Anolis sagrei: one gene and its partners. The protein of the gene in region 3 purifies or fractionates together with the protein of the main gene of each other region. This does not show direct contact. Links are inferred from orthologs where the notes say so. Each region holds a gene or a part of one and is shown on either strand. Other genes may lie near its edges.

Region 1 (8,021 bases), on a different chromosome or scaffold from region 3:
CTGAGCAGTGATGGGTCAGAAGGCAACACCAGACTTCATAAAGGACTCCAGGTCCCTTCTGGGCATCGGTCTAAGGATGCCAGGTTTTTTTCTTATGCACAGTTCCCCTTAGCCACACTCCAAAATTTGTTTCTAAAACTTGCCAAGATAAATAAAAACAAAAGAACAAATAATAAATGTTGGAAATGTAAGAGAAAAGAAGGTATATATGGTGGTCTTGTCATAAAAACCACGTATATTAGACAACTGTTAAAGAAACAATCCAAATAATTTTGCAACAGAATATACCATCGTCACCAGAAATAGTTTTGTTGGGCTGGCAAATGATATCATCAATAAGAAAAATATGGTTTTCTTTCAATATGCCATAGCACAGGCATAGGCAAACACCTCCAGGTGTTTTGGACTTCAGCTCCCACAATTCCTGGTCTCAGGCCCCTTCATTTCCCCCCTCAGCTGTAGGTTCTGTGATGTTTTTTTTTCTCCCCTTTTTAATAGTTTGAGTTAATGTTTTCTGATTTTTTTGAAAACAAAATAAAAACTTATTTGCATTGAAAGCTATGCAACACTCGTTCAGTTCTGAAAGAAAAACATGGAGACATGGAGGTCCTTCACACTATGAGCTGCAGATCCAGTGTGGAGTGGTGGTGTGAGCGATGGACGGGTAGACTGCGTGGCTCGTATAACTCAGGGCGTGTTGAGGCCTGGTCTGAGGAGGAGGGGGATCCTTTGGAAGTGGGGCCTTGTGCTCCTGAATTGGAGCCTGATGTGGAGTCTGAATTGGAGCCCCCCATAACTCCGGGACTGCCAGTACAGTGAAAAGATGGATAAAACAAAGGGTTGTTGTAGGTATTTTTCCGGGCTGTATGGCCATGGTCTAGAGGCATTCTCTCCTGACGTTTCGCCTGCATCTATGGCAAGCATCCTCAGAGGTAGTGAGGTTTGTTGGAACTAGGAAAAAGGGTTTATATATCTGTGGAATGACCAGGGTGAGACAAAGGACTCTTTCCTGCTGGAGCTATTATTATTATTATTAACTTTATTTGTACCCCGCTAGCATCTCCCGAAGGACTCGATGCGGCTTATAAAGGACAAGCTCTCAAAACACAACATAACAATACACAACCAAGGTGTGAATGTTTCAACTGACCACCTTGATTAGCATACAATGGGCTGACTGTGCCTGGAGCAAACTTTTGTTGAGAGGTGATTAGATATGCCTGCTTGTTTCCTGATTGTTTACTCTCTGTTGTTGTGCTGTTGTAATTTTAGAGTTTTTAATACTGGTAGGCAGATTTTGTTCATTTTCATGGTTTCTTCCTTTCTGTTGAAATTGTCCACATGCTTGTGTATTTCAATGGCTTCTCTGTGTAGTCTGACATTGTGGTTGTTGGAGTGGTCCAGTATTTCTGTGTTCTCAGATAATATGCTGTGTCCAGGTTGGTTCATCAGGTGGCTGATTTCTCTGGTTGAAGTAGTCTGCAGTGCCTTTCCTGTTCCTTGATTCGTGTTTGGGCAATGCTGCATTTGGTGGTCCCAAATGCAGAGAACAAAATCAACCTCTGTACATGGCATTCATCGACCTTGCAAAGGCATTCGACACAGTGAATCGCAGCGCTCTCTGGACCATCCTCCAAAAAATCGGGTGCCCAAACAAATTTGTGAACATCCTGCGGCTCCTCCATGATGACATGATGGCAACAGTTTTGGACAGCAGTGGCTCCCAAAGTGACCCATTTAAGGTGGAATCGGGTGTCAAACAGGGATGTGTTATTGCCCCAACTCTATTCTCCATCTTCATCACTATGATACTTCACCTTGTTGACGGGAAGCTTCCCATTGGAGTGGAAATCATCTATCGGACAGATGGCAAGCTATTCAACCTCAGCAGACTGAAAGCCAAAACCAAGGTCACAACAACATCTCTTATAGAACTCCAGTATGCTGATGACAACGTCGTCTGTGCGCATTCAGAATAAGATCTACAAGCCACTCTAAACACCTTTGCAGAAGCATACGAGAAGCTCGGCTTGTCATTGAACATTGAAAAAACCAAGGTGCTTTTCCAGCAGGCACCAGCCAACCCCTCTCCAATGCCAGTGATACAGCTTAATGGTGTAACACTAGAAAATGTTGATCATTTCCGCTACCTTGGCAGCCACCTCTCCACCAAAGTCAACATCGACACCGAAATACGTCGCCTGAGCTCTGCAAGCGCAGCATTTTTCCGAATGAAGCAGAGAGTGTTCGAGGACCGGGACATCCGTAGGGATACCAAGGTGATTGTTTATAAAGCTATTGTCCTCCCAACCCTGCTCTATGCCTGTGAGACGTGGACTGTCTACAGACGTCACATGCAACTCCTGGAACGATTCCATCAGCGCTGCCTCCGAAAAATCCTGCAAATCTCTTGGGAAGACAAGCTGACAAATGTCAGCGTGCTGGAAGAAGCAAAGACCACCAGCATTGAAGCGATGGTCCTCCACCATCAGCTCCGCTGGACCGGCCATGTTGTCCGGATGCCTGACCACCGTCTCCCAAAGCAGTTGCTCTACTCCGAACTCAAGAACGGAAAACGGAATGTGGGTGGGCAGGAAAAGAGATTTAAAGATGGGCTCAAAGCCAACCTTAAAATCTCTGGCATAGACACTGAGAACTGGGAAGCCCTGGCCCTTGACCACTCCAGCTGGAGGTCAGCTGTGACCAGCAGTGCTGCAGAATTTGAGGAGGCACGAGTGGAGGGTGAAAAAGAGAAACGTGCCAAGAGGAAGGCGCGTCAAGCCAACCCCGGCCGAGACCGCCTTCTACCTGGAAACCAATGAAGAAGAAGAAGATGCAGAGCAAGAATAGGGCTCCACAGCCACATACGGACCCACAAGAATATTGGAAGACAATCATCCTCGGAAAGCGAGGGATCGCCTAAGTGAAAGTGAAGTAAGGTCCCTATGTAGACTTGTACACAGCTGCATGGTACCCGGTAGACTCCTGCAGAAGTGAGAGGATCCCTCTTGTCCTTTGCTGAACGTAGCATTTGTTGGATTTTCTTGGTGGGTTTGTAGATACTTTGTATGTTGTGTTTCCTCATCAGCTTCCCTATGCGGTCAGTGGTTCCCTTGATGTATATTTGTATGATCCCTCTTGTCCTTTGCTGAACGTAGCATTTTTTGGATTTTCTTGGTGGATCATACACAGAGGCGGCCCTAGGTACTTTTCAATGGTAAGCAAACAGTATCCCCCCCCCCCAACCAATCACTGATATATATTTTCTGTTCATCGTGGGACTTCTGTGTGCCATAATTGGTTCAATTCCATCATTGGTGGAGTTCAGAATGCTCTTTGATTGTAGGTGAACTATACATCCCAGTAACTACAACTCGCATATGTCAAGGTCTGTTTTTCCCCAAGAGTGCTTCAAGAGTGCCCCTGGGCAAAATCAACTATACTGCAAATGCTTACTTTGCGTAATGGGTTGAGACGCCCCTGATCATACACATTAAAATACAGTCAAGGTAACTTTGGTGGGCCTCGTCCTTGAGTGGCTGCATCTTTTCCTCAGTTTTGTGCCTTCCTGTGTGATATTTCTGTTATATGATATATGATATGTCATTTCCTTGTTGTTGTTCATTCGTTCAGTCGCTTCCGACTCTTCGTGACCTCATGGACCAGCCCATGCCAGAGCTCCCTGTCGGCCGTCACCACCCCCAGCTCCTTCAAGGTCAAGCCAGTCACTTCAAGGATGCCATCCTTCCATCTTGCCCTTGGTCGGCCCCTCTTCCTTTTTCCTTCCATTTCCCCCAGAATCATTGTCTTCTCTAAGTCATTTCCCTGAGGGAAAAATAAACCTCTCAAAAATGTGCACATCGCCTCAGAGAGGCCCCTAAAATGTTCCTTTCCTGAGCAGTCTGGTTTCACGGAAAGGATTCCCATTTCTGCACGTTTTGAGATGGGCCTAATTCTTATTTTGCCAAGAAATAAAAACATGGGTTGTTGTAGGTTTTTCGGGCTGTTTAAACAAAACATGAACACAGAGAGGTGTCAATGTCTTGTCAAAGGCTTTCATGGCTGGAATCACTGGGTTGTTGTAGGTTTTTTCGGGCTATATGGCCATGTTCTAGAGGCATTCTCTCCTGACATTTCGCCTGCATCTATGGCAAGCATCCTCAGAGGTAGTGAGGTCTGTTGGAACTAGGAAAAAGGGTTTATATATCTCCAGAAAGACCAGGGTGGGACGAAGTACAAGAGTCAACCCTTCTTTTTAAACAGAGGCTGGATGGCCATCTGTCGGGGGTTATTTGAATGCGATGTTCCTGCTTCTTGGCAGGGGGTTGGACTGGATGGCCCATGAGGTCTCTTCCAACTCTTTGATTCTATGATTCTTCCTAATGTCTTTTAAAGGGATTTACTTTGGTGTCACCATTGTCCTTTAATCTAATTTCAGAACACTTTTTGAAACATTTTCTTTCTAGGAAAATGGGTTTATATATCTGTGGAATGACTGTGGTGGGGCAAAGAGCTCTTCTCTGCTGGAGCTGGGTGTGAATGTTTCAATAGAGAGGTAAAATCCTCCCTTCAGAGCTCGTTGCCTGCCTCGCAAATCCCCCTTCCCCCAATATTCTCCTCAGCCGCAGTGGTGGCCGCAATGCGCATGCGCACCGACGCCGCGGCCGGCTGGTTGGGGGGATGGGCACAGCCCTCGCGCTGCCAAAGCGCGCTCCTTTGCCTCGCGAGGCGCGCCCCCGTACGACTGGGAAGCCCGCCCCTTTCTCTACGTCATTGGCTGAGGCAGAGACAAAAGAGGAGGAGAGACATATTTGCATTCAAAGAAGCATAACAGGCCGCGTCACTTATGGGCAGAGAAATAGCAAAGGCCGGTGTAGAAATGTAAAGCGTGTCGCTATTGGCTGTTAAGAGAAAGCCTCATTCTCTAGACTTCCCGCCCATCTTTTCTGATTGGCTGGCGCTCGGAGTCTGAGTCTAAGCGAAGGAGGCGGGCGTAACACCCTGAGTGAGGGTTGTGAAATCCGCTCTGATTGGTGCGTCGAGAGGGAGCCTCGTTGAGCCGGTTAAGGAACGCGCAAAAGAAAGAAAGGAAGAAAGAAAGCCTGTGGGGAGCGCGCCCACGCGAGCCCAGCAGGAGGCGCGCAGGCGAAGGGCGGGGGAGGAGGAGGAGGAGAGAGCATCTCTTTGAGAGACGCAGGCAGTCACCTTCTTCTTTGTTCGCCGTCCCCGCCCGCGCTGGAACTCCTGGGCCGCCCGGTAAGCGAAAGGGCGCCGCGGGAGGGGATGGGGAGGGTGGATTGCGCATGCGCGGGGATGGCTCGCTGAATGAATGAGTGCAAGCCCGTGTGGACGGACCTGGGAGAGGGCATCGCGGGTGGGAGCATCCCACCTGAAGAGGAGGAGGAGGAGGGGGCGGGGAGAATTGGAAGGAAGCAGAGCATCCTTAGCCGGAATCTCACCTTGGATGGTAAGAGGGTGAACGTGTGAATGCCTGTACCCGTGTCTTCCTATTCCCATCCTCCCCCTCCTCTTTTCTCCCCTTTTTATTGCTCTTATTTCAGCCTCTGAAATATATAATCAACTCATCCATCATCAACATCATTATTATTATAATATTGTGAATGTGAACATTGACATATTTTGACAACACTATGATTAAAAATATAATAATAACTAGCCGTCCCCTGCCACGCGTTGCTGTGGCCCACATCAGGGTTCTGTGGCCCAATTCTATCGTTGGTGGGGTTCAGAATGCTCTGCGATTGTAGGTGAACTATAAATCCCAGCAACTACAACTCCCAAATGTCAAGATTCTATTTTCCCCAAACTCCACCAGTGTTCCCATTTGGGCATATTGAGTATCTGTGCCAAGTTTGGTCCAGATCCATTATTGCTTGAGTGCTCTCTGGATGTAGGTGAACTACAAAGCCAAAACTGAAGGTCAATGGCCATCAAACTCTTCCAGCGTTTTCTGTTGGTCATGGGAGAACTGTGTGCCAAGTTTGGTTCAATTCCATTGTTGGTGGGGTTCAGAATGCTCTGCGATTGTAGGTGAACTATAAATCCCAGCAACTACAACTCCCGAATGTCAAGATTCTATTTTCCCCAAACTCCACCAGTGTTCACATTTGGGCATATTGAGTATCTGTGCCAAGTTTGGTCCAGATCCATCATTGCTTGAGTGCTCTCTGGATGTAGGTGAACTACAAAGCCAAAACTGAAGGTCAATGGCCATCAAACTCTTCCAGCGTTTTCTGTTGGTCATGGGAGAACTGTGTGCCAAGTTTGGTTCAATTCCATTGTTGGTGGGGTTCAGAATGCTCTGCGATTGTAGGTGAACTATAAATCCCAGCAACTACAACTCCCAAATGTCAAGATTCTATTTTCCCCAAACTCCACCAGTGTTCACATTTGGGTATATGGAGTATTCGTGTAGAGTTTGGTCCAGATCCATCATTGCTTGAGTGCTCTCTGGATGTAGGTGAACTACAAAGCCAAAACTGAAGGTCAATGGCCGTCAAATTCTTCCAGTATTTTCTGTTGGTCATGGGAGAACTGTGTGCCAAGTTTGGTTCAATTCCATCATCGATGGTGTTCAGAATGCCCTTTGATTGTAGGTGAACTACAAATCCCAGCAACTACAACTCCCAAATGACAAAATAAATTTTTTTGAGTGGAGAACATACATTGGGTTGTTAGGTGTATTGTGTCCAAATTTGGTGCCAATTGCCCCAGTGGTTTTTGTGTTCTGTGGATACCACAAACGAACATTACATTTTTATTTATATAGATTTGAGCCTCTGAAATATATACTCATCCATCATCAACATCATTATTATTTGGATTTTTAAAAAAGAAAATATAATATTCCGAATGTGAACATTGACATATTTTGACAACACTATGATTAAAAATATAATAATAACTAGCCATCCCCTGCCATGCGTTGCTGTGGCCCACATCAGGGTTCTGTGGCCCAATTCTATTGTTGGTGGAGTTCAGAATGCTCTTTGATTGTAGGTGAACTATAAATCCCAGCATCTACAGCTCCCAAATGTCAAGATTCTATTTTCCCCAAACTCCACCAGTGTTCACATTTGGGCATACTGAGTATTCATTTATTATTTATTTAAAACATTTATATTCTGCCCTTCTCGCCCCGAAGGGGACTCAGAGCGGAGCACAACATATACATGGCAAACATTCAATGCCTGGGTACAATACATAAACATTAAAAACATTTATCTAAATATTAAAATACACCATTTAAAATAACACAATTTAAAACCGTCCTAACCATCCGCATCAAATCCAATTGGCCCTGTCATCTTCATGTAGAGTTTGGTCCAGTTCCATCATTGTTTGAGTCCACAGTGACCTCTGGATGTAGGTGAACTACAACTCCAAAACCAAAGGACGCTGCCCACCAAACCTTTCCAGTATTTTCTGTTGGTCATGGGAGAACTGTGTGCCAAGTTTGGTTCAATTCCATCGTTGGTGGGGTTCAGAATGCTCTGTGATTGTAGGTGAACTATAAATCCCAGCAACTACAACTCCCAAATGTCAAGATTCTATTTTCCCCTACCTCCACCAGTGTTCACATTTGGGCATATTGAGTATTCATGTAGAGTTTGGTCCAGATTGAATTGAATACTTTATTTGTATACCGCTCTTCTCAGCCCTTAGGCGACTCAGAGCGCTTAACAACAGTTTCAGTATACACAATACAAAATCATTGGGCATTTAAAAGCAATAGCATCAGAAATCATTAAACATCAGCACCAATACATCAGTACATCAATACAACAAATATAACAAATCCATCAGGTCTCATCAATGAAATCAGAATCCAAACTCGTTATCCATTATTCCGTGTTCCGATAATCAATCACTCATCCAGATCCATCATTGTTTGAATCCACAGTGATCACTGGATGTAGTGAACTACAACTCCAAAACCAAAGGACACTGCTTTCCAAACCCTTCCAGTATTTTCTGTTAGTCATGGAAGAACAGTGTGC
Region 2 (6,970 bases), on a different chromosome or scaffold from region 3:
CAAGACCTGTTATCAAGTATCAACATTCTCAATAAGCTGTGATATTTCCAAAATCTTCTCTGCCACCACTGTCAATAATCAAGGATAAATGGGCTCATTAGGAACAATGGAAGTGTTGATGACAAGGGAAAACATTTGCAGGTGCGAAAGCCGAAGCTTCCTGTACAGCTGGCTTCTAACTCAGGCCTCCCTATCACTAGAAAGAAAAATAATGACAAACATCACCATTCCAGGAAGATAGAGCTGATTTCTTTTCTAAAGCCACACTGGTGTAATTACGATAATGATAAACAGATTCTGAAAAAGTTTAAATATATTCTCTAGAAGAAAACACCACGAAAAAGAGAATTTTACTGAGCAGTAACACTGTCAATGGAGATACACTAGTTCTAGGGCAGTGGCTCTCAACCTGGGGTCCCCAGATGTTTTTGGCCTTCAACTCCCAGAAATCCTAAAATCTGTCAAACAGGCTGGGATTTCTGGGGGTTGTAGGACAAAAACATCTAGGGACCCCAGGTTGAGAACCACTGTTCTAGGGACTAATAAGCCTGTTATGCACATCCCTGCCTTGGGAAAAGGTTCACGGTCCAGTTTCCTAGTGAAAAGATATTCTGGAAAATTATGCAAATTTTCTACAACCAGTTTATTTGTAAGCAATTACAGTGAACAAAATATGTAGTAACACAGAGATCAGCATTCGCTTAATTTCCTAAATGTGCCTTTATGTACAATATTCATTACAAAATTTTATAAAGTCTTTATATATAAAATCTCAGCCTGCAGATGTTTGAGCTCGCAAAACTCAAAAAGTAGTCGGCCGATTGACTTGACATTTCGACACAAGGTTACATTCCAATACGCACGTGTTTTTAGAGTAAAATGAAATTTTGACACAATGTTGCATTTGAATACACACGTGTATTTAGAGTAAAACAAGTAGTCCGGGAGTAGACAAAGGAATCTGTGATGCCCAAATCAACCACTCACAGCCTAACTTTTATTTTACCTCAGCAGTATAAGAAATGAAATCTAAGCTCTAGCAACCAATTGCTGTACAGCTTTCCTTTTGCCTCAGCAGTAAAAGAAATAACCTATCACAAAACAGCTTTCATTTTACCTCAGCAGAAGAAATAATCACAGACCAGCTTTCCTTTTATCTCAGCAATATAAGAAAAATAGTTGTCGAGGCCCACTTTGGAATCTTGGCCTTTGGAAGCTGAGCTGTCCGCTGTAATTAGTACTGAACTGGCTTTTAAATTTTAAATATGTACGATTGTTATATAGTACTATGTTTATACTTTTTATAATGCCCTTCTGTATGTTTTTATGTTGGTAATTGCAATGCTTTACCATGATGGAAACCGCCCTGAGTCCCCTTGGGGAGATAGAGCGGTATACAAATAAAGGTTTATTATTATTATTTGATAAAATAACATATTTGGTTTACTCACAACATTCATGTGTTCAGCATACATAGCGATAAAACTTATCAGTCCAGTTTCAGATATGTCTGAGATGGTTCCCTGTGCCAGTCAACCAGGGCATCTCTCTTGTAACAAAAATAACTGTCAACAGGTCACATAGTAGTCAAAAAGGAGAGGAAGAGAGCCTGTGGTCTGCAGCCCCTCTTATAACTTCTCAGGAACCATAGAGTAAAGGAAGCTGCATACCAGAGCATACATACAGGAAACAGGAAACAACAGGATCATTGATAAACATTACTAGAGAAGGCTTGAAGAAAACTGTCATTTCCAACAAAAGGAAGGACAAAAGATGGGAGAAGAAATGGGGAAAGGGATGGAAGAAAGAAAAAAAAGGAAAGAAAAAAAGGGAAAAGGAACAAAAGAAGTGAGGGAAGGGGAGAAAAAGAAAGGCAGAGTACAGAAAAAGAAGAGGAGGTAGATATTTTAAGGAAAAGCATGGGAAGAAGGAAAGAAACAAAGAAATACTGTGTATTAAGGAAAGGAAGAAAAGAGCCACAAAAGAAAATGCAAACTCAGGCAGTGCCATGTATATACCCTAGGTAAAGGTAAAGGTTTTCCCCTGACATTAGGTCTAGTTATGTCCAACTCTGAGGGGTGGTGCTCATCTCCATTTCTAAGCCGAAGAGCCAGTGTTGTCCATAGACACCTCCAGGGTCATGTGGCTGGCATGACTGTATGGAGTGCCGTTACCTTCCAGTCGAAGTGGTACCTATTGATCTACGCATATTTGCATGTTTTCGAACTATTAGATTGGCAGAAGCTGGAGCTAACAGTGGGAGCTCACCCTGCTCCTCGAATTTGAACTTAATTTTTGATCAGCAGGTTCAGCAGCTCAGCAGTTTAACCTGCTTTGCCACTGAGGGCTCCTATTTATCTAATCGTGTGTGTGTGTGTCTGTGTATGGATGTTGGCTAGTTGGTTTGTACCACAAAGGCTCCTACATGGCTTGATAGATTTGGACCAAACGTGGCACACATACCCTGCACTATCCAACTTAAATTAATTGAAGGGGTTTTGAACTGAAAAAGCCACCCTTTTTTGCTAGGTTGGCAGAAGCTGGGGCTAACAGCAAGAGCTCACACCACTTCCTGGATTCGAACCTACGACCATTCGGTTAACAAGTTCAGCAGCTCAGCGGTTTAACCCACCAGTGGTTCTTTGAGTTGTGTATAAAATTACCTTTAAGATACGTATATAAGGTGCAAATGAAACAAAACAAGAATGATTGACAACTGGAAAATAGAGGGAGAAAATGTGGAGGCCGTGACAGACTTTGTATTTCTAGGCGCAAAGATTATTGCAGATACAGACTGTGGCCAGGAAATCAGAAGACGCTTACTTCTTGGGAGGAGAGCAATGTCCAGTTTCGATAAAATAATAAAGAGTAGAGACATCAGACTGGCAACAAAGATCCGCATAGTCAAAGCCATGGTATTCCCTGTAGTAACCTACGGATGTGAGAGCTGGACCTTGGGGAGGGCTGAGCGAAGGAGGATCAATGCTTTTGAACTGTGGTGTTGGAGGAGAGTTCTGAGAGTGCCTTGGACTGCGAGAAGATCCAACCAATCAATCCTCCAGGAAATAAAGCTTGACTGCTCATTGGAGGGAAGGATATTAGAGACAAAGTTGAAGTACTTTGGCCACATCATGAGGAGACAGCAAAGCCTAGAGAAGACAATTATGCTGGGGAAAGTGGAAAGTAAAAGGAAGAGGGGCCAACCAAGGGCAAGATGGATGGATCCTTGAAGTGACTGGACTGACCTTGAAGGAGCTGGGGGTGGTGACGGCCGACAGGGAGCTCTGGCGTGGGCTGGTCCATGAGGTCACGAAGAGTCGGAGATGACTGAACGACTGAACAACAAATCTGCAGAGTCCCTGAAACTTGGAACTATAACAAACATTAAATGGAAAGCAAACAAAATTGGAGCTCCTGGTGCAGTTGTACCTGCACAATAAGAGATACACAATCTATACTGCAGAGAATGTAAAATACAAGCGTCTCAACCAGGCCTGGGCAAACTTGGGCCTTCCAGGCGTTTTGGACTTCAACTCCCACAATTCCTAACAACCAGGCCCGGGCAAACTTGGGCCTTCCTTGAGGGCCTGAGGCTGTTAGGAATTGTGGGAGTTGAAGTCCAAAACGTCTGGAAGGCCCAAGTTTGCCCAGGCCTGGTCTAAGCAATCCTTTGGGCCCATCTACTTGTTTCCATCTGTTGGCAACATCCATTCTCATTACTGTCATAGTAATCCATATCTTCCATACTCCAAAATGGTCCTTATAAAGGCTTTCTTTCCTTGCTGATCATTTAAATCTTGCCACTTGAGTCTGAATGTTTGGCTAATAAGTTCCACTCTGTACCAAACTGAGTGTTGAATCCAGTTGTTGTTCTGCTCCTTCAAGCCACCACATCCCGCTCTGAGGGCGGCGCATGCGCAAACATGTCGCGAGCGTTCCTCTCCGCCTGTAACACTACAATTCCCAGCATGCCCCTGGCTTCCGGGCCAGTTCCGTCGAGGCTTCTCGTTCAGCGCCCGGCCCTCAAAGGTGGAGGAAGAAGGAGAGCGGCAAGATGGCGCTGACCAGGTGAGTTTTGTCGCTGCGAAGCGGGAGCTTATCAGAAATTGGAAGCCGATAGCCACCCCGTTCCCTGAGCCTTTTACGGGAAAGTCTCTGGTTGTAATTGATTTCCGTGGAGTGTGAGCGGGTTTCGGTGGAGGGGAAAAGCCTCGAGGGAGGCCTAGGCCGCAACGGGCATTCTCCCCTAAAAGTCGGTATTAATAGTATTCTAGTGGGCGGCCTTTCATTATTTCAGACCGCTTCCTAAAGTGAAAAATTGTCTTGTTTGCGTGGGAGGCTGGCCCTCCAGAAACAAAGAAGGGAAGGCCTTGGTGTTCAGTAAAGATAGGCAGGGGGCCATTGTGAAATTGTAACCTGAAATGGTTCCAGTTGTAACCTGAAGTGGGGTTGGGTTGGCATGGGCAAACTTTGCCCCCCCCCCCATGTTTTAGACTTCAACTCCCATAATTCCTAACAGCTGTCCAGAACACCTGGAGGGCGGAAGTTAGCCCATGCCTTGCTTGGCCTCTTTGGCCCCTTCCACACCACCCCACTTTCCTCCTCCTGGAGGTGCTGGAGGAAAGTGCTGAGAGTGCCTTGGACTGCGAGAAGATCCAATCAGTCCATCCTCCAGGAAATAAAGCCCGAATGCTCATTGGAGGGAAGGATACTAGAGACAAAGTTGAAGTACTTTGGCCACATCATGAGGAGACAGGAAAGCCTAGAGAAGACAATTATGCTGGGGAAAGTGGAAGGCAAAAGGAAGAGGGGCTGACCAAGGACAAGATGGATGGATGGCATCCTTGAAGTGACTGGACTGACCTTGAAGGAGCTGGGGGTGGTGACGGCCGACAGGGAGCTCTGGCGTAGGCTGGTCCATGAGGTCACGAAGAGTTGGAGACGACTGAACGAATGAACAACAACACACCACCCCAATATTGCAGGATCTGATCCTAGATTATCTTGCAGTGGAGACTCATATAACCCAGTTTAAAGCAGATAATCTAGGATCAGAAAAGGTATTTTGCCTGACTTATTATTATTATTAACTTTATTTGTACCCCGCTAACATCTCCCGAAGGACTCGGTGCGGCTTACAAAGGCCAAGGCCCTCAATAAAACAACAGCATAACAAATGCAACAATAAAACTCATAAAGCAAACCAATAAACATTAAAGCAATAACAGTAAAACATCAAACAATACATCATGACACAATTAAAACTAGGGCCGGGCCAAATGTAATGAATAAATTAAAAGTGCTGGACATGACAGGTGAAATGTAAGGATTTTAGGTTAGGTGCGATGTACAGGCAATCATCTCTGGTAAAGTGTGCTTGGGACATGATGCTGGGAGTTTTCTATTCTGGAAAGGCACACTGGAACAGCCAGGTCTTCAAGCTCTTCCTAAAGACTGCCAACGTTGGGGCTTGTCTGATGTCCTTGGGGAGAGAGTTCCAGAGTCGGGGGGGGGGGCTACCACAGAGAAGGCCCTGTCCCTCGTCCCCACCAAACGTGCTTGCGACGCAGGTGGAATCGTGAGCAGGGCCTCTCCAGATGAACGGAGGGATCGTGTGGGTTCATATATGGAGATGCGGTCACGCAGGTAGGCGGGTCCCAAACCTTTTAGGGCTTTGTAGGTGAGCACCTGCACCTTGAATTGGGACCAGGAAATGAACAGCAGCCAATGGAGCTCCTTAAACAGGACTTCCAGATATACAGGAAAAATGGATGAGCAGAAAGCGCTCTCTTCAGGCTGGTTTTTCAGGGCCATGTACTGTCCTTATGGACATGACCTGTGACTATTACTAGCACCTACACTCATAGATTCATGTGGGTAACACACCCTACAGAAAAAGTGGTTCCCTTGGGATCTAGGCGCAGTGTGGAAGGGGCCTCTGAGGGCCACAATATGAATGCTTTCGTCCAGTGTGTCTTGTAGTTCTACAAGATTTTCTTCGCCTTTGCCTCATCAAACAACACATCGCACAATTTCTTTTGTTAACATTGACCCATGGCAACAAAAGTGGTGTCAAACTGCATTATTCCCACAGCGTGGAGCAGGCATGGGCAAACTTTGGTCTTCCAGGTGTTTTGGACTTCAACTCTCACAATTTCTAACAGCCTAGAGTGTTAGGATTTGTGGGACTTGAAGTCCAAAACACCTGGAGGGGTGAAGTTCACCCATGCCTGCTTTATGGTGTTCATTGATGAGAACTGAAGTTCAAAACACCTCAAGGGCCAAAGTTATCCCATGTCTGGTGTAGAGGCATCCTAAGAAGGCAGTTGACTTCTGGGATTTGCAATTTGGCACAGATAGCTGAAAATACAACTCCCAGGATTCCTTAGCACTGAGCTGTGGGAGCTAAAGTGGTGCCAAAGTGCATCAGTTCTCCAGTGTAGATGCCCCCTTGGAAACTCATTGTCAGTTCTTTCTTGTCCTCATCTTTAGAGAGGACAGTTGTCTCACTTTCTCTTCAAGGTGCCAAAACTATTGCTGGCTTGTGGCATCCCTAAGGTGATCCAAGCAAGGGTGTTTTTGACTAGATTTGTTCAGATGGGATTTGCCTTTGACTTCCTCAAAGGTTGAGAGAGGGGCTTAACCAAGGTCAGCCAGTGTGCTGCCATGGATGTGTAGGGATTCAAACCCAGGTCTCCAGAGTCGCAGTCTAAAGGTAAAAAGATTACGTCAGAAATACAGTCCTAAGATGTGGAACTTATCTCCCTGTTCAATACCAGCTCTGCAGTAATGGTTTCAAGGGAGCCACTTTTTCTGTAGGGTGTGTTACCCACAAGAATCTATGAGTGTAGACGCTAGTAATAGTCACAGGTCATGTCCATAAGGACAGTACATGGCCCTGAAAAACCAGTCTGAAGAGAGCACTTTCTGCTCATCCATTTTTTCCTGTATATCTAGAAGTCAAGCAAAA
Region 3 (7,078 bases):
GCTTACTGGTTTCTGGAAACTTGATGCCGTCTGCTGTTGACTGGATATGAGATTATGACTCGGCATTTTAGTCTGTTTAATAGATTGTTACATGTTTTAATTGCTTATATGTTTAGATTGCTTATATTTTTATGAGATGTGTTTTATTGTTTATCTGTGTGGCACTGAATTTTTGCTGGATTTATAAGTCGCCTTGAGTCTGCTCCCAGGTTGAGAAAGGTGGGATAGAAATGAAGTCAATAAATAAATAATTGACATGAAATTTAATAAAGTCTCATTGTTTGATTTGAAAACTGCTGGCTGGTTTTTACGCCACCAAGGAAAGGGGTACGGGAGGAAAGAAATGGGGGCTGGGTTGGTGTTAATGGAGCTGATAGCTCTGTTCATGTCCATCTGGAACAGGACAATGGGTTTTGGTTGGCGATATAATGGGTGCCAGGGGTGTTGGCACAGCCTCAATGGGGTCCCCAGGGAGGGGATGTGATCTGGCGATTAGAATTGGAAAGATTTCACAGATGCATACTATTTTGGAAAATCCCTGTGAGTCTTCTTAAATCCATTATGAGATTCTCGAGCTAAATGGTGAGACTTTCCCTAGGGTTTATGTGTACCTGCTTGTCTAACTTTGACAAATTCATTCGGATGCCACCTGAAAGTAGGGGAAAGTTTCTGGGTACCCTCAGAGTCATGGGTTTTGGTTGTCCTGGCTTTCAATAACAGAACATTTAAGATTTGGGATATGCAGGTCAGGGATGTCAACCTGTATTACTCCCAGCATTCTATTGATTTTGATTATTGGTTTTCTCCTATTATTGAATCTGATAATCTTCTACCAAACCCTGCTGTTTCCAGCAAGCCTTTCCACTCTTGTATAACAGTCATTTTCACTATTCTGTTACCTGGAGGGCCCCATCTACACTGCCATATAATCCAGTATCCGATTCCAGATAATCTACTTTGAACTGGATTATATGGCAGTGTAGTTTCATATAATCGAGTTCAAAATGTATAATCAGATACTGGGTTATATGGCGGTGTAGATCCAGCCAAGGACCATATAAGATTTAGGCTGAATAGAAACTGCCATATAATCTACCGTATATTCTGGCGTATAAGACTACTTTTTAACCCAAGAAAATCTCAAAAGTCAAGGGTCGTCTTATACGCAGGAGTCATCTTATACGTGGGAATAGTATATGTGGGAGTTGTCTTATATGTGGGAGTAGTCTTATACGCTGGGAGTAGTCTTATAGAGTGGGTGCTGAAATTTCCAATCCGGATTGGAGAATCTGTGGTTGCTGCATAATTTGGGGGGAACTCAAAAATGGCAGTGGCCGTGTCCCTGCCGTATGCAGCCACTGTATGAAAGCATTAAGGGCGACGCTGTACATGTACAGTAGAAGAAAATCCATTCATCAGGTGTCAATCTGTTTGTGTATACATATACAGTGATATGTGCATGTTTGTACAGGGAAACATGTAGATACATGTTACAATACAAGGCGCTGAACAGATAATCTGTTCACGAGATGCAGAGCCAACCTTCAGAAATGGGGCCACAAAGTGGCATCCACGACATGCAAGTGTGGAGAAGAACAAACTACAGACCTGAAATGCAACCTGACCCCCGCCACATGCACAATGGAGGACCTTCTTGCAGCAACACCAGAGGCACTCCAAGTGGCCAGATACTAGTCAAAGAATAATTAATAGAATACCAAGCCTGCAAACTTTGTGTTTTGTTTGCAATACAACTGTTTTGGTTCGCTCCTAACATGATAAAAAATGTACAATATAAGGGCTTAGTTTTTATTGTATTCATTGTGTATTATTTGTTTTGTATTATTATTTTTATAAACTGTTGGATTAATTCATAAATGATTTCAATTAATTCATAAATGACCAGCTTTCAAATTTCAGGTGAAGGGCTTTTTTGGTCAAATGTATCAGGAAGGCCTGAGTTCAAAACTCCAAACAGCTGTGAAATGCAATAGTCACAGGGTGCATCTACATTGTAGAATTAATACAGTTTGGCATCACTTTAACTGCCATGGCTCCAATGCTATGAGATCCTGGGAATTGTAGTTTGATAATGCAGATAATGCTGGCATGGCTGTGTCTTTTCACCGAATGCAACCAACAATATAATGGCATCTTTAATACATACATACATATACTAGCTGTCCCCTGCCATGCGTTGCTGTGGCCCAGTCTGTTGATCTGGAAAATAAAGTAATGAGAAAGTGTTGGTTTCTAATATATGTAATTCTTTTATGTTTGTGAGTAAACAGTATTTCTTGTTGTTTCTTTGTCAGTGTTGATGTGGAGAGTGTCTGGTTTGCCTACTCTGGAATATGCAACATATCATTGTCCTTCTTTAAGGGTCTCTTTCAAATCTGTGATACTATATCTGTGTGTGTGTGAGAGAAAATCATATCTATCTATCTATATTTATGACTGGATGGCTCTTTGTCGGGAGGGCTCGGATTACATTTTCTTGCCCTGGTGAAGAGAGTTGGACTGGATGGCCTTAAGTATTTTCTGTTGGTCATGGGGGTTCTGTGTGGGAAGTTTGCCCCATTTCTGTTGTTTGTGGGTTTCAGAATGCTCTTTAATTGTAGTGAACTATAAATCCCAGTAACTACAAATCCCAAATGTCAAGGTCTATTTCCTTCAAACTCCATCTGTGTTCATATTTAGGCATATGGAATTTTTGTGTTAAGTTTGGTCCAGATCCATCATTGTTTGAGTCCACAGTGCTCTCTGGATGTAGGTGAACTACAACTCCCAAACTCAAGGTCAATGCCCACCACACCCTTCCAGTGTGTTCTGTTGGTCATGGAAGTCTGGTATGCCATGTTTGGTTCAATTCCATCGTTGGTGGAGTTCAGAATGCTCTTTAATTGTAGGTGAACTATAAATCCCAGCAACTACAACTCCCAAATGTCAAGGTCTATTTCCCTTAAATTCCATCTGTGTTCATATTTGGGCATATGGAATATTCGTGCCAAGTTTGGTCCAGATCCATCATTGTTTGAGTCCACAGTGCTCTCTGGATGTGGGTGAACTACAATTCCCAAACTCAAGGTCAATGTCCACCAAACCCTTCCAGTTTTTTTCTGTTGGTCATGGGAGCCCTGTGTGCTAAGTTTGGCCCAATTCCATCATTGGTGGAGTTCAGAATACTGTTTGATTGTAGGTAAACTATAAATCCCAGCAACGACAATTCCCAAATGACAAAATCATTTTTTTTCTGAGTGGAGGACATAAATTGGACTGTTAGGTGTCTTGTGTCCAAATTTGGTGTCAATTCCCCCAGTGGTTTTTGAGTTCTGATGGTAGCACAAACTAACATTACATTTTTATTTATATAGATATATCTTTATTAAGTATTTACAAAGCACAAAAGCATTTTTTTTAAACCATGAGTATAAAAGAAAGGCTAAAGACCTTGTAAATGCTAAAGACCTTGTAAAACTACACCTCTCTAGTGTGTGTGTGTTTTTCAAACTTGAGCTCTACCAGCTGTCCAATCACGAGCTGAAGCTTCGATGACGTCATTCGCCCAGTGCCCAAAGGAAATAGAGGCTTGCCCCAAGGGACCCGGATGTACGTCAAGCTGCCTTTTAAAAAAATGGTAAACCTTTACGCTGATACTATTGGTTAGTATTTTAACCAATCAAGAGGGACTATTAGGACATAGGCGGGGAGAAAATAGGCGGCAGATGAGGGCAATCATTGCAAGGCATTATTGCGAAAGTGACAACCAAATTATCCAATCGGAATGAGAGCTCTTTTGAGCGACAGAACTCTTAGCCTATTGGATTCTAAGGACCCGCCTTTCCGACAGAACTCTTAGCCTATTGGATTCTAAGGACCCGCCTTTCGCTTTGCAAATCTCTCCGGATTCCTCCTGATTGTTATTCGCACTGTCCCCGTTTACTTCACCATCGGCGCGGATATGATTGGCCGTCGGTTTGATTGACAGCGAAAGCGACCAATGAGGTGGTGGGAAACGCCAACGTGAGGAGGCGAAACGTGAAAAAGAGGGCGTGGCTATGCTGCGCGGCGCAGAGGTGGAGGGCGGCGGGGACGCCATTTTGTGAACCATCCGAAGCGTGGATGTGGGAAACGTACCTGGTGCGAAAGACTGAAAGCTGTATATTACCAAATAAAGCGGCGGCGGCTTCGAGTCGGTGAGTTCGTGGCTCGGGAAAAGAAGCGCGGAGGGGGGCGGGGCCTGGAGGCTAAGAATGGTATCGCCCTTTCTAACCCGCCCCCCCCCCCTTTCAGCACCAACTTGGTATGCCCCATGTCAGCTCCCCCCCTTTCGAATGTTCCAACGTTGCACCCCTACTCTGTACAAATGGTACGTTCCGTTCTCATTCGTTCCAATGGCTTCTGGGAGATACCATAGCGCGGGAAAAGGGGGAGCGGGTGGGAATGAAAGAAAATGGATCCTTCTTCGATTTGAGCTGGAGGAGAATAAGAGGTTTCGAACGTTGCACCCCCGCTCTGTACAAATGGTACGTTCCATTCTCATTCGTTCCAATGGCTTCTGGGAGATACCATAGTGCGGGAAAGGGAGGGCGGGTGGGAATGAAAGAAAATGGATCCTTCTTCGCTTTGAGCTGGAGGTGGATGAGAGATTGGTGTTTTCAATTGGATTAGGAAAGAAATGGCATCACTGTTCATTACTCTGAGCGCAAAGGAGGCCCAAAGGTGTTTATACCACATCCTATGCAGTATCTTAATCCGGATTATGACACTAACACAGGCATAGTGTTTCTGCGGGATTGGATTTGGCAGAGTATATAATCATAGAGTTGGAAGAGATATCATGGGCCATCCAGTCCAACCCCATTCTGCCAAGAAGCAGGAAAATTGCATTCAAAGCACCCCCAACAGATGGCCATCCAGCCTCTGTTCTAGAAGCATTCTCTCCTGACGTTTCGCCTACATCTGTAGCAAGCATCCTCAGAGATTGTGAAGTTTGTTAGAAACTAGGAAAATTGGGTATATATATCTGTGGAAGACCCAGGGTGGGAGAAAGAACTCTTGTCTGTTGGAGCTAGGTGTGAGTGTTTCAGTTGGCCACCTTGATTAGCATTTGATGGCCTAGAATCATAGAGTTAGGGCTTCCAGTCCAACTCCCTGCCTAGAAGCAGGAATATTGCATTCAAAGCACCCCCGACAGATGGCCATCCAGCCTCAGTTTAAAAGCTTCCAAAGAAGGAGCCTCCACCACACTCCGGGGCAGAGAGTTCCACTGCTGAACGGCTCTCACAGACATAGAATCATAGAGTTGGAAGAGACCTCATGGGCCATCCAGTCCAACCCCCTGCCAAGAAGCAGGAATATTGCATTCAAAGCACCCCCGACAGATGGCCATCCAGCCTCTGTTCTAGAAGCATTCTCTCCTAACGTTTCGCCTACATCTGTAGCAAGCATCCTCAGAGATTGTGAAGTTTGTTAGAAACTAGGAAAATTGGGTATATATATCTGTGGAATATCCAGGGTGGGAGAAAGAACTCTTGTTTGTTGGAGCTAGGTGTGAGTGTTTCAATTGGCCACCTTGATTAGTATTTGATGGCCTAGAATCATAGAGTTGTGGCTTCCAGTCCAACTCCCTGCCAAAAAGCAGGAAAATTGTATTCAAAGCACCCCCGACAGATGGCCATCCAGCCTCTGTTTTAAAAGCTTCCAAAGAAGGAGCCTCCACCACACTCCGGGGCAGAGAGTTCCACTGCTGAATGGCTCACACAGTCATAGAATCACAGAGTTGGAAGAGATCTCATAGGCCATCCAGTCCAACCCCCTGCAAAGAAACAGGAATATTGCATTCAGAACACCCCTGACAGATGGCCATCCAGCCTCTGTTTAAAAGCTTCCAAAGAAGGAGCCCCCACCTCACTCTGGGGCAGAGAGTTCCACTGCTGAATGGCTCTCACAGTCAGGAAATTCTTCCTAGTGTTCAGATGGAATCTCCTCTCTTGTAGTTTGAAGCCATTGTTCCGTGTCCTAGTCTCCAGGGAAATAAAAAACAAGCTTGCTCCCTCCTCCCTGTGGCTTCCTCTCACGTATTTATACATGGCTATCATATCTCCTCTCAGCTTTTGCTTCTGCAGGCTAAACATGCCCAGCTCTTTAAGCCGCTCCTTATAGGGCTTGTTCTCCAGACCCTTGATCATTTTAGTCGCCCTTCTCTGGACACAGCTTCAAGTGTGGGGCCCAGAATTGGACACAATATTCCAGGTGTGGTCTAACCAAGGCAGAATAGAGCATGGGTAGTATGACTTCCCTAGATCTAGACACTAGTAAGGAAGTTCTCCCTAATGTTCCGATGGAATCTCTTTTCATGCATAAATCAACAGGCAATTTGAGGATGATTTGTTCCCAAGTAATAAAGATCTTGAAGTGGTCAGATGCTGTTCAGAAATTAGAAGTATCCTTATTCTTGGGTGAATATATTTGTGTCACATAGTCCTGCTAGGTTGTTGCAGCAATAAATAAAATGCCTGATAGGACCTTTAAGCCCAGTGCATCCTGCCTAAATTTGCGTGAAAGTAATCCTCACTAAATTCAGTGCAAGCTGATATCAGTTGCAGTAAGATTCAAGAGGATGGACCAGGAATGATTACGCAATAATAAATCTCCTAAGAGTTAAAAAATGCCACTGTGTAGCTTTTTCTCCCTCTCCATCACATTCCTTAATACAGTTTGAGCATCCTTTATTTGAAATTTTGAAATACTCAAAAATGGTCCATGTTGATGACTGAAATAGTGCCATGTTTGCTTTCGGATTGTTCACTGGATAAACACTTTGTTTGATGGATAAAAATATTTAAGGATGTTGCGTATAAAATTACCTTCAAGCTATAAGGTGTTTATGCTACAGAAGAGAACTTTGGGTTTGTGTTCCATTGTCAATGTATATCGAATCTGAAATGTTTCTAGGTCTTAACATCTTGGGTATAGGATACCCAGCCTTTAAAGAAAAGCAAAGAACTAGTTCCAAGATTTGGTATGATCCATTATTCTTCTTGTTCCTTTATGTAATCTTGAGTGATCTGGTTTT
Region 4 (7,632 bases), on a different chromosome or scaffold from region 3:
TGTTCAGCGCCTTCCAAGTCACCCAGTCCTCTGTGTGCTCAGGGGGGAGTCTCTCATTTGATATCAGCCATTGGTTGAGGTGTTGGGTTTGAGACTGCCAGTTTTGGACTCTTGCTTGCTGAGGTGTTCCAGCGAGTGTCTCTGTAGATCTTAGAAAACCATTTCTTGATTTAAGTCGTTGATGTGCTGGCTGATACCCAAATAAGGGATGAGCTGGAGATGTCTCTGCCTTGGTCCTTTCACTATTGGCTGCTACTTCCCGGCAGATGTCAGGTGGTGCAATGCTGGCTAAGCAGTATAATTTCTCCAGTAGTGTAGGGCGCAGAGATCCCGTGATAATGCGGCATGTCTCATTAAGAGACACACCTACTGTTTTAGTGTGGTGAGATGTGTTCCACACTGGGCATGCATACTCAGCAGCAGAGTAGCATAGCACAAGGGCAGATGTTTTCACTGTGTCTGGTTGTGATCCCCAGGTTGTGCCAGTCAGCTTTCGTATGATATTATTTCTAGCACCCACTTTTTGCTTGATATTCAGGCAGTGCTTCTTGTAGGTCAGAGCACGGTCCACAGGTTTTTTTTTTTCGTGTCAGGAGCAACCTGAGAAACTGCAAGTTGCTTCTGGTGTGAGAGAATTGGCCGTCTGCAAGGACGTTGCCCAGGGAACACTCTGATGATTTGATATTTTACCATCCTTGTGGGAGGCTTCTCTCATGTCCCCACATGAGGAGCTGGAGCTGATAGAAGGGACTCATCCGCCTCTCCCCGGATTCGAATCTGTGACCTGTCGATCTTCAGTCCTGCCGGCACAGGGGTTTAACCAATTGCGCCACCGGGGGATCCACGGTCCAGAGTGACTCCCAGATATTTTGGTGTGCTGCAATGCTCCAGTGGGATTCCTTCCCTGGTAATCCTCAGAGCTCGGGATGCTTGGTATATTTTGCTGAGACACCAACAGTCTTTCATCATAGGAGCGCAGTGGGTTAAACCCCTGTGTTGGCAGGTTGCAGGTTCGAATCCAGGGAGAGGCGGATGAGCTATCAGCTCTAGCTCCTCATGCGAGGATATGAGAGAAGCCTCCCACAAGGATGTTTTTGTTGTTCATTCGTTCAGTCGTCTCCGACTCTTCGTGACCTCATGGACCAGCCCACGTCAGAGCTCCCTGTCGGCCGTCACCACCTCCAGCTCCTTCAAGGTCAGTCCAGTCACTTCAAGGATGCCATCCATCCATCTTGTCCTTGGTCGGCCCCTCTTCCTTTCGCCTTCCACTTTCCCCAGCATAATTGTCTTCTCTAGGCTTTGCTGTCTCCTCATGATGTGGCCAAAGTACTTCAACTTTGTCTCTAGTCTCCTTCCCTCCAGTGAGCAGTCGGGCTTTATTTCCTGGAGGATGGACTGGTTGGATCTTCTCGCAGTCCAAGGCACTCTCAGCACTTTCCTCCAACACCACAGCTCAAAAGCATCGATCTTCCTTCGCTCAGCCTTCCATAAGGTCCAGCTCTCACATCTGTAGGTGACTACAGGGAATACCATGGCTTTGACTAGGCGGATCTTTGTTGCCAGTCTGATGTCTCTACTCTTTACTATTTTATCGAGAGTGGACACTGCTCTCCTCCCAAGAAGTAAGCGTCTTCTGATTTCCTGGCCACAGTCTGCACCTGCAGTAATCTTTGCGCCTAGAAATACAAAGTCTGTCACGGCCTCCACATTTTCTCCCTCTATTTTCCTGTTGTCAATCATTCTTGTTGCCATAATCTTGGTTTTTTTTTATGTTTAGCTGCAACCCCGCTTTTGTGCTTTCTTCTTTCACCTTGATTAGAAGGCTCCTCAGCTCCTCCTCGCTTTCGGCCACAAGGATGATAAAACATCAAAAAATGCCTCTAGAACATGGCCATAAGAGGAGAAATGCCTCTAGAACATGGCCATATAAGAGGAGAAATGCCTCTAGAACATGGCCATATGAGGAGAAATGCCTCTAGAACATGGCCATATAAGAGAAAATGCCTCTAGAACATGGCCATATAAGAGGAGAAAATGCCTCTAGAACATGGCCATATAAGAGGAGAAAATGCCTCTAGAACATGGCCATATAAGAGGAGAAAATGCCTCTAGAACATGGCCATATAAGAGGAGAAAATGCCTCTAGAACATGGCCATATAAGAGGAGAAAATGCCTCTAGAACATGGCCATATAAGAGGAGAAAATGCCTCTAGAACATGGCCATATAAGAGGAGAAAATGCCTCTAAAACATGGCCATATAAGAGGAGAAAATGCATCTAGAACATGGCCATACAGCCCGGAAAAACCTACAACAACCCATCAAAAAATCATCCGGGCGTCCCCTGGACAATGTCCTTGCAGATGGCCAATTCTCTCACACCAGAAGCGACCTGCAGTTTCTCAGGTCGCTCCTGGCACGACAAAAAAACAAAAACAAAAACAAAAAACCCCATAGTTTCTAGCCCATGCCTGGGCCAACATGGGCCCTCCACATGTTTTGGAGTTAAAACTATGGCTATTAGGAATGTATAAATATGTGAGAGAAAGCCACAGGGAGGAGGAGGAGGGAGCAAGCTTGTTTTCTGCTTCCTTGGAGACTAGGACGCGGAACAATGGCTTCAAACTACAAGAAAGGATATTCCATCTGAACACGAGGAAGAACTTCCTGACTGTGAGAACCGTTCAGCAGTGGAACTCTCTGCCCCAGAGTGTGGTGGAGGCTCCTTCTTTGGAAGCTTTTAAATAGAGGCTGGATGGCCATCTGTCAGGGGTGATTTGAATGCAACATTCCTGCTTCTTGGCGGAATGGGGTTGGACTGGATGGCCCATGAGGTTTCTTCCAACTCTTTGATTCTATGAATTGTGGGAGTTGAAGTCCAAAGAGCCTGGAGGGAGGGCCCAAGTTGGCCCAGGCCTTGCCTAGAATCAGTGGGAAATGTATTGTCGAAGGCTTCGACAATACATTTCCAGAGGTTCCCAGAAGACATCACGGCGCTGTTTCACCATTGCCTCACCACCAGCTATTTTCAGTGGGACAATGAATTCTACGAACAGAAAGATGGAGTAGCTATGGGGAGCCCTCTCAGCCCAGTCATAGCTAACTTCTACATGGAACAATTTGAAAAACAAGCTCTTGAAACAGCAACCAAAAAGCCCACTATATGGTTCAGATATGTGGATGACACTTTCACCATTTGGAGCCATGGAGAAGAAGAACTCAACAGGTTCCTGGAACATCTTAACAGCATCCACCCTAACATCCAGTTCACTATGGAAATAGAAAAGGAAGGAAGACTGCCTTTTCTAGATGTCCTAGTCATCCGCAAACCAGATCAACAATTGGGTCACACCGTCTACAGAAAACCCACACACACAGACAGATATCTACATAAAAACTCCAACCATCACCCAAGTCAAAAAAGAAGCACCATCAAAGCCTTGGCAGACCGTGCAAAAAGAATCTGTGAACCCCACCTCCTCCAAGGTGAACTGAACCACCTCAACTGGGCTCTACAGGCCAATGGATACTCCACCTCAGACATCAGAAGAGCTGCAAGACCAAGAACAAGCCACAAGAATAAAGATGAAGATCCACCCAGAGGAAAAGTGTCCCTGCCATACATCAAGGGAACCACTGACCGGATAGGGAAGCTGATGAGGAAACACAACATACAAACAATCTACAAACCCACCAAGAAAATTCAACAAATGCTACGTTCAGCAAAGGACAAGAGGGATCCTCTCACCTCTGCAGGAGTCTACCGTGTACCATGCAGCTGTGGACAAGTCTACATAGGGACCACCAAACGCAGCGCCCAGACACGCATCAAGGAACATGAAAGGCACTGCAGACTACTCCAACCAGAGAAATCAGCCATAGCAGAGCACCTGATGAACCAACCTGGACACAGCATTCTATTTGAGAACACAAAAATGCTGGACCACTCTCACAACCACCATGTCAGGCTACACAGAGAAGCCATTGAAATCCACAAACATGTGGACAATTTCAACAGAAAGGAAGAAACCATGAAAATGAACAAAGTCTGGCTACCAGTATTAAAAAATTCTAAAATTAAAACAGCAGAGAGAAAAACAGGCAGGGACATCTAATCACCTTTCATTAAGAGTTTGCTCCAGGCACAGTCAGCCCATTGTATGCTAATCAAGGTGGTCAATTGAAAAGATTCACACCTAGCCCATCTTACAGTAGCCTTTTGTCTCACCCTGGTCTTTCCACAGATATATAAACCCCCCTTTTTTCCCAGCTCCAGACCTCACCCTCTGAGGATGCCTGCCATAGATGCAGGCGAAACGTCAGGAGAAATGCCTCTAGAACATGGCCATATAGCCCGAAAAAACCCACAAGAAATCAGTGGGAAAGCCGCCATGTTTGGCCAACACGCGAGACAGGCGTCATCTTTCCTTGCTCCCCGTTTCTTCCCCTCGGCCAATCAGAGAGCGGGTCAGGGCGCGCTTTCTCTTAGCCAATCAGGGAGCGGGCCAGCGCGCGCTTCCCCCCGACCAATCGGAGACCGCGTCAGGGCGCGCTTTCCCTTGTTCTCCAATCAGCGAGCGGGAGAGGGACAGTAAGTAGGGCGCCGGGCACGTGACCGCGACGCCACCACCACCGCCGCCGCATTCCTTCCGTCCGCCATTTTAGGTTGGGATCAGCGAGGCGGCGCCATTAAAGCGCAAGAGAGAGACAGAGAGAGAAAGAGAGAAGGCGTGAGAGAGAGAAAGAAAGGAAGAGAAAGAGAGGAGAGCGAGGCTGCTTCAGTTTGAGCCGGCTTTCCTCCCCGTTTTGCCGACTCCCGCTTTCTCCTCAACTCCCAACATGTCGGACCAAGACTTCATGGGCGACGCAGGCGCTGCCGAGGCCTTTGACGAGGAGGCTGAGCAGCTGGAGGGAGTCGCGGTCGGAGGGAACGACGAAGAGGACGGCGCGGAAGGCGGCGGCGGCGGAGGGGGCGGCGGCGAATCCGAAGGCGCCAAAATCGACGCCAGCAAGAATGAGGAGGATGAAGGGTACGTTGGGTATGTTTCAACCGAACCGAACCGGGCCTGGGAAACGGGGGTGCGCGACGCGTGTGTGGTGTGTGCTGTGTGTCCCCCTCCCCCCATTCCCTTCCGCCATGCAGGAAGTCACAATCAAAGCCCCCCCGACAGATGGCTATCCAGTTTCTGCTTTGAAAACTCCCAGAGAGAGAGAGGCCCCACCCCTCCCCCCGCTTCCCCATTCTCTTCCGCCATGCAGGAAGTCACAATCAAAGCCCCCCCGACAGATGGCCATCCAGTTTCTGCTTTGAAAACTCCCAGAGAGAGAGAGGCCCCACCCCTCCCCCCGCTTCCCCATTCCCTTCCGCCATGCAGGAAGTCACAATCAAAGCCCCCCCCCCGACAGATGGCCATTATTATTATTATTATTATTATTATTATTAACATTATTTATACCCCGCAAAATCTCCCGAAGGACTCGATGCGGCTCACAAAGTCCAAGGCCGCCAACAACACAACATACATAATACACAATAAACTTAAAAGCAAATAATAAATTTTTGAGTCCCCCTTCCCCATTCCCTTCCGCCATGCAGAAAGTCTCAATCAAAGCCCCCCCCCCCCCCCGACAGATGGCCATCCAGTTTCTGCTTTGAAAACTCCCAGAGAGAGAGAGAGAGAGGCCCCTCCCCCCACAGGTCTTCCTCAGACTGTAATACTCGAAGTAAAAAATTAAAATACTGATATTGTACCATGCTAATAAAATAATATATATGTAATGTAATATAATGTATTGTATATACATGTAATTTTATATACAATGTAAATTTTTACTAATATTATATAATGTAATATAATATATTGTATATACATATAATATTTATAACATAATGTAATGCAATATAATACTCATAGTAATATATCATAATTATAAATTTATATTACATGTGATATTACTAATCATATTACAGTATAATTGATATAGTGCAATATAGCAATATTTAAAACTGATATTGTACTATGTTAATAATATATTGTATGTATATATACCTTGTAAGCCGCTCTAAGTCCCCTTCGGGATGAGAAGGGCAGCATATAAATGTCGTAAATAATAAATAAATAAATAATATATTGTATATGCATATATTTATATTATAATGTAATGCAATATAATACTAATAGTAATATATAATAAAATTTTATTTATATTACATGTAATATTACTAATACTACAATATAATGGTATAGTACAATATAGTAAGATGTTATACTGATATTGTACTATGTTAATAATGTAATGTATATACATATATTTTTAATATAATAATGTAATGCAATATAATACCAATAGTAATATATAATAAAATTATATTTATATTACAATATAATTATATTGTAATATTACAATATAATGGTATAGTACAATGTAGTAATATTTAATACTGATATTGTACTATGCTAATAATGTAATATAATATTACTAACAATATTATATAATTAATATATCTTGTATATACCTATAATATTTATAATATATTGTAATGCAATATAAGACTAATAGTAATATGATATTATAATAGTATATTTATATTAAATTTAATATTACTGACAATATTATATAATTAATATATTGTATATACATATAATATTTATAATATAATGTAATGCAATATAATACTAATAGTAATATGGTATTATATTTATATATTTATATTAAATTTAATATTACTAACAATATTATATAATGTAATATAATACCTTATATATAGATATATTTATAATATAATGTAATGAAATATAATACTAATAGTTATATGATACTATAATTATATATTTATATTACATGTAATGCTACTAATATTACAATATAATGGTATAGTACAACATAGTAATATTTAATACTGATATTGTACTATGCTAATAATATAATATATTGTATAAATATATATCTTGTAAGCCGTTCTGAGTCCCCTTCCGGGTGAGAAGGGTGGCATATAAATGTCGTAAATATATATAAAATAGTGTTACAGTTTTATTGTAGGTTAAGTTTGCCTTAATATTTCAATTAAGTTTGTATTTATCTATCTATCTATCTATGAGATAGAATATCAAGGCAAGGAGATTTCACCACCCGCCCAGGCAGCAGCATATTCCACTGTCCCAATTTCTTCCCAAAACTGTAATACTTTTAAGTAAAAAAAACAAACATGTATAACAGTGTTGCAGTTTTACCGTAAGTTCAGTTTGCCTTAATATTTTAATTACTAATTCCATTGTTGGAAATTATTCATACTGTAATACTTAAAGTAAAAAAATAAAATACATATATAATAATGTTACAGTTTTTTAAAAATACTTTTTTTATTGCATGCAGGTAGAAAAATATCACAATTTATCACCATTTCAGAATACATATAAAATATCATTTTCTTAGTGTTCTTACCCATGCCTAATCCACCTTTATCTCCCACTTGTGTCTATTGATTTTACATCCCCTCCCCCATCCCCCAATAGTGTTACAGTTTTATTTTAGGTTAGGTTTCCCTTAATACTTCAATGTGTGTGCATATATGTGTGTGTGTATGTGTGTATGTATGCATGTAATAGTGTACCTAGAGAAGAAAAATTCACC

The links. The genes of interacting proteins can lie anywhere in the genome.
Region 1: the proteins of HNRNPC (region 3) and SMARCA4 purify together in Homo sapiens (affinity purification with western blotting; 3 studies listed by BioGRID, with this or other methods). This does not show direct contact. The link is inferred for Anolis sagrei from reciprocal best matches to the Homo sapiens genes HNRNPC and SMARCA4.
Region 2: the proteins of HNRNPC (region 3) and SNW1 purify together in Homo sapiens (affinity purification with mass spectrometry; 3 studies listed by BioGRID and IntAct, with this or other methods). This does not show direct contact. The link is inferred for Anolis sagrei from reciprocal best matches to the Homo sapiens genes HNRNPC and SNW1.
Region 4: the proteins of HNRNPC (region 3) and HNRNPD purify together in Homo sapiens (affinity purification with mass spectrometry; 3 studies listed by BioGRID and IntAct, with this or other methods). This does not show direct contact. The link is inferred for Anolis sagrei from reciprocal best matches to the Homo sapiens genes HNRNPC and HNRNPD.

The regions. Positions count from the first base shown.
Region 1 is NC_090022.1:171,359,168-171,367,188, forward strand, and holds the start of SMARCA4 (transcription activator BRG1), read left to right. Parts: upstream 1-5,014; 5' UTR 5,015-5,256; intron 5,257-5,307; exon of another isoform or gene 5,308-5,467; intron 5,468-8,021. UniProt on the Homo sapiens protein: ATPase involved in transcriptional activation and repression of select genes by chromatin remodeling (alteration of DNA-nucleosome topology).
Region 2 is NC_090021.1:307,230,623-307,237,592, reverse strand, and holds the start of SNW1 (SNW domain-containing protein 1), read left to right. Parts: upstream 1-3,963; 5' UTR 3,964-4,054; coding exon 4,055-4,068; intron 4,069-6,970. UniProt on the Homo sapiens protein: Involved in pre-mRNA splicing as component of the spliceosome. As a component of the minor spliceosome, involved in the splicing of U12-type introns in pre-mRNAs.
Region 3 is NC_090026.1:11,146,094-11,153,171, forward strand, and holds the start of HNRNPC (heterogeneous nuclear ribonucleoproteins C1/C2), read left to right. Parts: upstream 1-4,056; 5' UTR 4,057-4,196; intron 4,197-7,078. UniProt on the Homo sapiens protein: Binds pre-mRNA and nucleates the assembly of 40S hnRNP particles. Interacts with poly-U tracts in the 3'-UTR or 5'-UTR of mRNA and modulates the stability and the level of translation of bound mRNA molecules. Single HNRNPC tetramers bind 230-240 nucleotides.
Region 4 is NC_090025.1:17,071,995-17,079,626, reverse strand, and holds the start of HNRNPD (heterogeneous nuclear ribonucleoprotein D0), read left to right. Parts: upstream 1-4,625; 5' UTR 4,626-4,839; coding exon 4,840-5,039; intron 5,040-7,632. UniProt on the Homo sapiens protein: Binds with high affinity to RNA molecules that contain AU-rich elements (AREs) found within the 3'-UTR of many proto-oncogenes and cytokine mRNAs.